Coturnix japonica: one gene and its partner. The protein of the gene in region 1 purifies or fractionates together with the protein of each later gene. This does not show direct contact. Links are inferred from orthologs where the notes say so. Each region holds a gene or a part of one and is shown in the gene's direction. Other genes may lie near its edges.

Region 1 (4,386 bases):
TCCAGCCACCCATCCTGGGCACAAAACCGACACAGAGAGTCATTGGGATGGATGGTTGGAGGGATTAGCTGGGCTTGGATGGTCTGAGCAGGGGGTGGGGGGATAAACTGAGCAGCTGCGGTAGGTGCAGGTGCCGAGGTGGCCTTGCTCTGCGATGGTGAGATTCAATAGGTCATAAATTCCTTTTCCAAAGGCTCCCGTTTTGCTGCTTAATGTGTTTCCCTTCTTCTGCTGATGGATGGGGCTCCCAGAGGGGAAGATCAGAGCAAAACCCCTTTCTTTGGTGTTTTTGGAGGATGGATGGGTTCCACATCTGCCCGAGCTGCCCCACAGCAGGAGGGGAACGATGTTGGCTGGGAGGCCACTAATGAGAGGCGATCATTGGTCTTTTTATTGCCTCTGGCTCTGTAAAACCTGGCAGGGCACCTCTCCCTATCCAAGTTCTGACTGCTATACACGGGTCTATTCTGACCACGACAAGGATGTTTGTAACACAGAGGCAGTGCTGTAGCATCCATTTACATTAAGAAATAATAATCCAAACGATAATAATAATAATAATAACAAAAACCTAGCAGGCTGGAAGAGAACCAAACTCCCATCCTTACGAAGCATCGGGTCGATCAGACTGGCTTTGAGGTTGACCTGTCACAGGGCCAAATTCCTGCCTGACTTTCACGTCGGTGTTAGCAGACACACAGAGCTCTGTGCTGCTACAGAGAGCACAGCTGGGATGGATGGCTATGGATGGGGCTGGGGATTTTCCTTGGGTTTCCTTGGGTTTGCTGCTGAGGAAGCAGCGGTAATACAGACGGCCACAAGAAGGGATCCTTATCGGCGAATTCCAGCCGACTTAGATCCGCGTCCCTTGATATTTCCATTATAAAGGGCTTCCTGAAGGGAGCCTGGAACAAAAGCATACCTCGGCTGAGTGTCAGCGAGGAGAACCGAGGAGAGGAATTTATCTGCTGGAAACAGAAAGAGAAGCAACCCGAGTCATTTCCTTTCATCCCGGGGAAAGCCTCTGGAAGGCATTCCTGTAAATCAAGAGGACATTAAACGTGTGCTTAAGGCTAAATCGTGCTCGAGTGCTTCCTGGGCCGCTGGGCAAACCCTGAGCGATCCTACAGCTGTGGCTGTGTGGGCTGTAAGTGTGCAGGAGCTTTCGTCTCCACCAGAGACATTCTCTGCTCTATTGCAACAGGGAGCTTTGCTTCTTCCCCTTCCACTCGGCGGCAACCTCTGGGCTGTGCCTGAACAGGATCCTATCTGTTTACTTTGACATCGAAATTACAGCAGTTTAGTTAATCTCATCTGCTCTTTGTTTGTCTCCCCTACGGGTCCCTCTGGCCGCCCTCAGATCGAAATGCAGCTCCTGTTACTGCGCAGTGAATAATTCATTGGTGCCACTCTGCTTTGACTCAGGATGCCATCAGGACACCCACCCCAACCCCTCACAGGTGGGAGATGGCTGATGTTAAACCGGGGATTGATTTGCTCCTCCATACAGGCAATGGCAATGGCAATACAAACCAAGGGTGCAAGACATTGCGAGTCCTGAGGCTGCAGGGATGTGCATGACTGTGTCCCACGTCTCGACTTCAGCACTCCCTTGCCTTGTCTATGCTGTGGGGTGGATGCATTCAACAGCACCTTTCTAACCCAGCACTCTGGTACCCAGCCTGCAAGGAGCTCTGCTTGGCTCTCATCCCAACACGGGATGGCACAGCTGATATCTCTGTGTCCATAGACACAAAGCCTGCAGAGAGAGGCCGGGGGTTGTTCTCTCATCCCTCACATGAGCCCCTGCTTTGCCTCACCCCGTCTGCCCCGAGCTGCTGGAAGCGATGGGAAAACCCAGGTCTGATGAGTAATGCAGCAGCTATCTCTTTCTTCCATCGATACGGTGTGTCCTCGCACATGCCAGAACTGGGCAAGAGCTTTTGTTTGGGCTGCTCTGGAGGATCATCGCATTCTTTTAATATCTCAAAACAAAGACTTACCACAGGGGCAGAAAGAAAAAAGACCACACGGGGAGGTGCTGCCGAGCGTACAGTGAATTTCTATTGGGACAGCCTGTAGACATTCCGTTCTACCCACAGATCCCTGCTCAGTGCATGCAGAACTGAGCACCGCTCTGTGGCTGTGCCTGTCTGGTCTCTCCTCTCTTTGATTTTGCCCTCAATACGCTGTTATAGGTTGGTTTTTATTCTGACAGTGAGCCGGATCTGTCGTGGTTCTGTATGTGTGGCTGTGGCCATCCATGCATCCCTCCCCGGTTAACCTGCACCTCTCCTCTTGTTGCACCAGGTCGCTTTGCTGCTCACCCCGACCCCCCATCTCTCAGTTTGGGTTCAACCATCACCCTCCATCCCCTTCTGCACACCTTCAACACACCCCCACCACTCGGGACCCCACTTTTCTTCCTTCTTATCCCACCCAACTGTCTCCTTTACACCTCCGACTCTGCGCATCCCCCAATTACCACCACGGCAACACCCATCTCCACTCCCCCCCCTCCTCCTTTATCCCAGCGGTGCCGGGTATCCCCCTGCACCTGCCCAGCCCCATAGCCCCCCCATCCCCGTACCGGCAGCCGGGTGGGGCGGGCTGTAGGGCGGCCAATGGGAGCGGGGAGGCGCGGCCGTCGGGGCCGTCGCATTTAGGAGCGGGGCTGGCGGCGGAGCCGGGCAGGAGAGCGGCATGGAGCGGGCTGTGGGGCTCGGGGGCACCTCGCTGGCCGAGGGGTTCATCAAATCTCCACGGCCGCTGATGAAGAAGCAGGCGGTGAAACGGCACCACCACAAACACAACCTCAAGCATCGCTACGAGTTCCTGGAAACGCTGGGGAAAGGGACGTATGGGAAGGTGAAGAAAGCACGGGAGCGTTCCGGGAAGCTGGTAAGAGCTGGTCCTGCGTTCCCCCGGTGTTATTTCGGTGCATCTTTGCTATTCCCGTGCGGCGATACCGACTCCGGTTCAGCCCCGCTAATATAACAGGGACCGCGGCGGTGTATAGAGCCCCCGGTACCGGGGGAATGCGGCTCAAGGAGGGTATGAGCCGGGGGGCTGCTGTACCCAGAGCCCACTTGACCCAGTCGGGCTTCCTGGGTTGAGAGGGCTTTGCAGATATCCGATGTGGAAGAACAAACATCTCACTCCTGTCTCAAGGATCGTTCCCTTCCTCTCGCCCTGGTGTTGAGTTGGTTTTACATGTTGACTCGGTGGTGTGCAAGCAAAGCTGAGCCCCTCAGAGCCCTGAGTGTCTGCTTGAAGTCGTGACTTGCTGAATTGCTGTCTCGGCCCATTTGGAAGTAAGTGGGCTCTGTGCAATGCAGAGCTCAGCCTCAAGCATAGACCTGGTGTGATTCGGGCAGCTCAGCCTCAGGCACCCTGTGGTACACAAGCAATGAGGCTTTGAGCACCAGAAGGGTGTAAAATTGGCTTGCTAGTGTGCCCCTGGAGCGTGTCAATGAAAACAACTGTAAACTGGAGAGGTTTTCCTCTCCGACAGCTCTTCATTAAGTCAGATCTGCCGTTTCCATTCCCCTATCTGATGCTGCTGCATAACCAAGGCCTTGCAGCACAGCTCCCACCCACCAGCCTAGGGGGATCCCATCCCTGGGGTGGGTGAGGAGCCCTGGCTTTCCCTTTCTGCACCAAACAAAGCCTGTGCAGGGGATCATTGAGCCACCGGAAAAGGTTCCTACCTGTGGAAGCCCCTTAGGACAGAGACTTGTTTGTCTGGTAGCATAAGTCCATTATAATGCAAATCAAATCCACACACCAATGGCTCTTCCATAAGTGCCAAAGATAGTCAAAGGCTGGACTAACTAGTAGTGCAGCGAGCCGGCCCTGTGGGAACAGGAGGCTTAACCACAAATCTCTCCTCTTCCCACAAATACTTTCTTGCACCACTCAGCATTTCCGGACCTGTTTAATCTTTAGGCTTATCCCGAGCTGGGATGTTTGTTCCTTTTCTAAGTGGCTTTCACTTCCCAAAGGCCCAAGTGTGAGCAGGTTCTTGGGTTACCCCTCCTGGGCTGTGCAGATCCCACATTACAGCAGCATTGGAGCTGCTCCGTGCACAGCTTTGGCCTCTGGCTGATCAAACTGTACAGGTAACTCACTGAATATCAAACCTTCTTTCTTAGCTGCTTGGCTGTCTTTCTTTTCTTTCCCATTTATGTATGTATTTATTTGCCCTGCCACCTCATGCCTTTTGTTCTGAAGGTTCATGCAGTGCATCCTGCACCTGCTGCTAGGGCAGCATTTGGCCCTTTCCCTCCCATATCATTGCTTCACCATCAACCCAGGGCAACCAGGAGCTGGAGGGGGCCCTTACGGGGTCAGGAATGGATCTGTGGGCTTATGCAGTGCTGGGGG
Region 2 (4,423 bases), on another chromosome or scaffold:
ATGGTGAAGGGCCTGGAGCATTTCCCCTATGAGGAGAGACTTAGGGAACTGGGTCTGTTTAGCCTTGAAAAAAGAAGGCTGAGAGGGGACTTGATCCAGGTTTATAAATACCTGAGGTGTGGGAGCCATAGTGGTGAGGCTGGTCTCTTTTCAGTAGTGCGTGGGGACAGGAATAGGGGTAATGGGATGGAACTCCAGCATAGGAAGTTTCGCATGAATGTGCAGAAGAACTTCTTTACAGTGAGGGTGACGGAGCACTGGAACAGGCTGCCCAGGGAGGTGGTGGAGTCTCCTTCTCTGGAGATATTCAAGACCCGCCTGGACGCCTACCTGTGTGACGTGGTGTAGGGAGCCTGCTTTGGCAGGGGGCTTGGACTCGATGATCTCTAGAGGTCCCTTCCAACCCCTACAATTCTGTGATTCTGTGATATCTCTAGAAAAAAAATTGGGTATTTTTATAGTGTGTGGCCAGCAGGTTGAGGAAGGTGTTCCTCCCCTCATCTGCTCTGGTGAGGCCATATCTGGAGTACTGTGTCCAGTTCTTGGCTTCTTGGTTCAAGAAAGACAGGGAAAGAGTGGTTAGGCCCTGGAACAGGCTGCCCAGAGAGGTTGTGGATGCCCCGTCCTTGGAGGTGTTCAAGACCAGGTTGGACGGGGCCCTGGGCAACCTGATCTAGTAAATGTGTATGTTTGGTGGCCCTGCCAGGCAGGGGGGTTGGAACTACATGATCCTTGAGGGCCCTTCCAACCCGGGTCATTCTGTGATTCTGTGATTCTGTGAAGTGCTGGAGAGAGCCCAGTGAAGGGCTCCAAAGATGTTGAGGGGCCAGGAGCATCACCATTATGAGGAAAGACTGAGAGACCTGGGCTGAGATTATAGGAAAGAACAAACCACACACAATTTGAGGAGCATGAGGTCTGGTGACCCTCTCAAACTACACTTTGTTTCCCATAATGAGTTGTAATTAGAACTTCTTTTCCAGTAAGCTCAAAGCCACGGAGATCATTCAAATCAGCAGAAAATACGCTGTTTATAGCTAAAGCAAACATGCAACGTGCAGGGCAAAGAACTGCAATTCCTTCTCTCCCAACACAAGCAGGGCGCGCTGCTTCAGATTCCAGGCTGCAGTCTCACTAACAGACTCACACCCTCCCGCAGCCTTTGGTTCCCGAGCCCTGCAGTCAGTCCCTCACGAACCGCTGACCCTGGGGCTGAACTCCTGAACCCTCCGCCCGCCCAAACTCCGGCCGCGCCTCAGCCCGGCCCCGCCAACACCCCCGTCCCCGCGTGACGTCACGCTCACGGCCCCAGCGCCCACCTCCCTCGGGTTCCGCCCCGGCGTGGAAATCTCGCGGGATGATGTTAATGACCCACCGGCAGCGCCCGCCCCTCGGTTCCCTCCCGCCCTGCGCTTCCATCTGGGTGGGTGAGTGAGGGCGAGCGCGGTGCGCTGTGGGATAGGGCGGTATATAGTCTATCCTCGGCGCGGCGATAGCGAGGGGGTCAGGCGGGAGCGGGGCATGAAGATGGCGGACGCCAAGCAGAAGCGGAACGAGCAGCTGAAGCGTTGGATCGGTTCCGAAACCGACCTGGAGCCGCCCGTGGTCAAGCGTAAAAAGACCAAGGTGAAGTTCGACGACGGCGCCGTCTTTCTGGCCGCCTGCTCCAGCGGGGACACGGAGGAGGTGCTGCGGCTGCTGGAGCGCGGCGCCGACATCAACTACGCCAATGTGGACGGGCTCACCGCGCTCCACCAGGTCGGTGCGGCCGGGCGGGCAGGGCCGGGGGCGAGGCCTGCGGGGCGCCCCTCCGGGAGGCGGCCGCGGGGGAACGGGCCGGCGGCGGCGGCTCTGCCGTCCGCTGGGGGGGCGTCGGGGCGGGGAGGGGCCGCGGGGTCGGGCCCAGGGGCGGCGGGGGAGTGGCCGTGCCGTGGGGCCTCTGCCCCGGAGCCTCCGGGCCGGGTCACCTCCCGGCGGCGGGGACCTCCGGGAGTTCCCCCCCGCCGGGATCGGGGTGCGGGCCCCGCCCGAGCCCCCCGGGAGCTGTCGGGGCAGGGCCGCAGGTGAGGGGAGGCGCTGCGCGGGGTCGCTTCCCGCTGCCGCCGCTCCCCGCGGCGGTTTCCGGCTTCCTCCGTCCGTCCGGAGGTTCGGCTGCGCTTGGGGCTGATGAAAGCCCGCTCCTCTGTGTGCGGGGACAGCCGGGCCGTGCGCCGCGCTCCCTGTTCCAAAGGGAAACAAGCGATTTGTGCCCAACATAGAAACGCGTGTCACTAACAGCCCGCTTCTTCTGCCGCAGTGTGCGAGCTGAAGTTGACGGGAGCTGGGCTTTTCCAGCCTGCTTCCGCGTGTCGGAGAGCAGGGCGACGGAGCCGAGTGGCTTTGTTCGGGCGTGGGTGTGTGGCCGGGGTTGGTGCCGTGAGGGAACTTCACTCGGGGCAGGGAGACGGGCTATGAAGTTTCCTCAAAATGGATGCTTTGTGCACGCTGAACTTCATAGCAGTCTGATTGGAATCTCAAAACGTTAGCCAAATAAGGAAAGGCTGTGGCAATCCAGAGATAATGCGGGTTTGCCTGAATAGTTCTTCTTTTTCTAGAAGGCCAAAAGCTTCCACACAGTATTAAATTCCCTGGATAGCTAAAAAGTTAAAAAAATCTATATAGATAATACTTATGTAGCTTTGACGGGCCAGGTTCTCGTTCTTAAGTTTAGAACTTGTTTGCTACTTCAAGGTGAAGAAAAAGATTGGGATGTGGGTTGACCAAGTTGCAATCTTTCCAGAATGGTCAAGCGAGGTAATTAGGACACTGTTATATTGCACTGTTCTTAAACAAAAATGAGGTGGTGAACTCGGTGGGCGTTATCCTGCCCATGTAGACATCTAGGGATGTGAATTCCTACAAATATAAGTTGCACCTTAATAATGAAGACTAGAATCCGATTCTGAATGTAAGATATTGTAAGAATGTAAGATCTTGCTGCATTTTGCTCTGTTTCCTGTGTATGTCATCACTTGTTTGGCTGCGTAGGGTTTGCTTTCAGTTGTGAACTCAACTGGAAGAGTGACTGCACTGTGGTTAAGGCTGTCAGAGCGTTACTTCAGCAGCTTTGCCTGACTTGAGGCTACCCTGTTGCTCAGGAGCCTGGTTCTGTGCATTTATTCTTCTCTAATCAGGTTATGATTGCTGTGTGCTCGAAGGGAGCTCAGTATTACAAGTCATTCCTTAACTGGTTACATCGTAGCTCTGCAAATCACCGACTGGGTGCCAGTGATTGGTGGGCAGGGATGATGTCTGACTCGACTCCCTGAGAACGAGAGGTGAATGATGTTGTTTTTCTTCATGAAGTATAAATAGCATTTCCAAAGTGATTTTGACATTACATACAGCAAAGCCCGTCATCAGAATTACTCCGGTGTTATTCTGCCTGCCTTTTTACCTGTAGATGATTTGCGGGTTTGAAAGGTCAAAGTCTAATAGAATAAAGATTTGTGCCGCTAAAACTCCATTCGCTCTCTTGTTGCTGTACCAGGGAGCTTTTTCTGGTCTTACAATATTAAAAGCAAATAAGAAGATCAGTTGCGAGATGATAATCCTCTTGAGGCAGCCCAGGCATCTTATGGTTTGTGTGCTTTTCTTTGGTGTGGGTTTTTGTTGTCCTTGTTGTTGTTTGTTTTCTTCTTTAAAGATGACGAGGGAGGATAGCAAAATACCAAAGCTCTTCCCATGACTGCTTTGTTATTTTGTTCCGTTGTTATCAAGGTTTTTAACATGTCATATGAAAGGTGCAAATCACACAGTGTGCCGTCCTTAACGCGGATTCATTTAATCTGATTAGGCTGTGGAATAAAACAAAGCTTTATCTGTTCCCAAAGGAAACGCTTCAAAAACTTGTCACTTGTCCTGACAGTTCTGACTGATGTCAGTGGTGTTGAAGCCCATTTTGTTGGAAACTGTTGGCCTTGCTGTTGTGTTGCTGCTTCTTGTTGTCGTTTTCCTTGTATGTTTTGTTGCTTTATGGATTGAATTTGTTAGTGGGGACAGAGTGACCCTACCTTCTTTGGGTAGCGTTTAGTCTTGCATCTAATATTTTTTTGCAGTTATTGAGAGCAAATCTGTAGAGCTGTGGAATGGCTCAGGTTGGAAGGGACCTTTAAAGACTGATTAGCTCCAATGCTCATGTTCTGTGTCTGAATGTTTAATTCTATTGCTGTTCAGCTTTTGTTTTTCTGGTTACTTCTATATGTAACCAGAAAAGGCTTAAACTGAGTGTTTTTTGTTTTTGCCCCGCAGACTGGATGGTTGGAGGTGCTGAAGGAAAAAGTACTAGTAATTCTTAATTTCAGAACTGATCCCTATTGGAGCATCATGTTTTGTTGCTCAAGCAATTAGCTGGACTTCTCCCATTTCAGTGGGGCTGAATATC

What was found.
Region 2: the proteins of NUAK2 (region 1) and PPP1R12A purify together in Homo sapiens (affinity purification with mass spectrometry; 3 studies listed by BioGRID and IntAct, counting the BioPlex papers as one, with this or other methods). This does not show direct contact. The link is inferred for Coturnix japonica from reciprocal best matches to the Homo sapiens genes NUAK2 and PPP1R12A.

What each region holds. Positions count from the first base shown.
Region 1 is NC_029541.1:2,392,551-2,396,936, reverse strand, and holds the start of NUAK2 (NUAK family SNF1-like kinase 2), read left to right. Parts: upstream 1-1,550; 5' UTR 1,551-2,703; coding exon 2,704-2,901; intron 2,902-4,386. UniProt on the Homo sapiens protein: Stress-activated kinase involved in tolerance to glucose starvation. Induces cell-cell detachment by increasing F-actin conversion to G-actin. Expression is induced by CD95 or TNF-alpha, via NF-kappa-B.
Region 2 is NC_029516.1:36,036,805-36,041,227, reverse strand, and holds the start of PPP1R12A (protein phosphatase 1 regulatory subunit 12A), read left to right. Parts: upstream 1-1,379; 5' UTR 1,380-1,521; coding exon 1,522-1,758; intron 1,759-4,423. UniProt on the Homo sapiens protein: Key regulator of protein phosphatase 1C (PPP1C). Mediates binding to myosin. As part of the PPP1C complex, involved in dephosphorylation of PLK1. Capable of inhibiting HIF1AN-dependent suppression of HIF1A activity.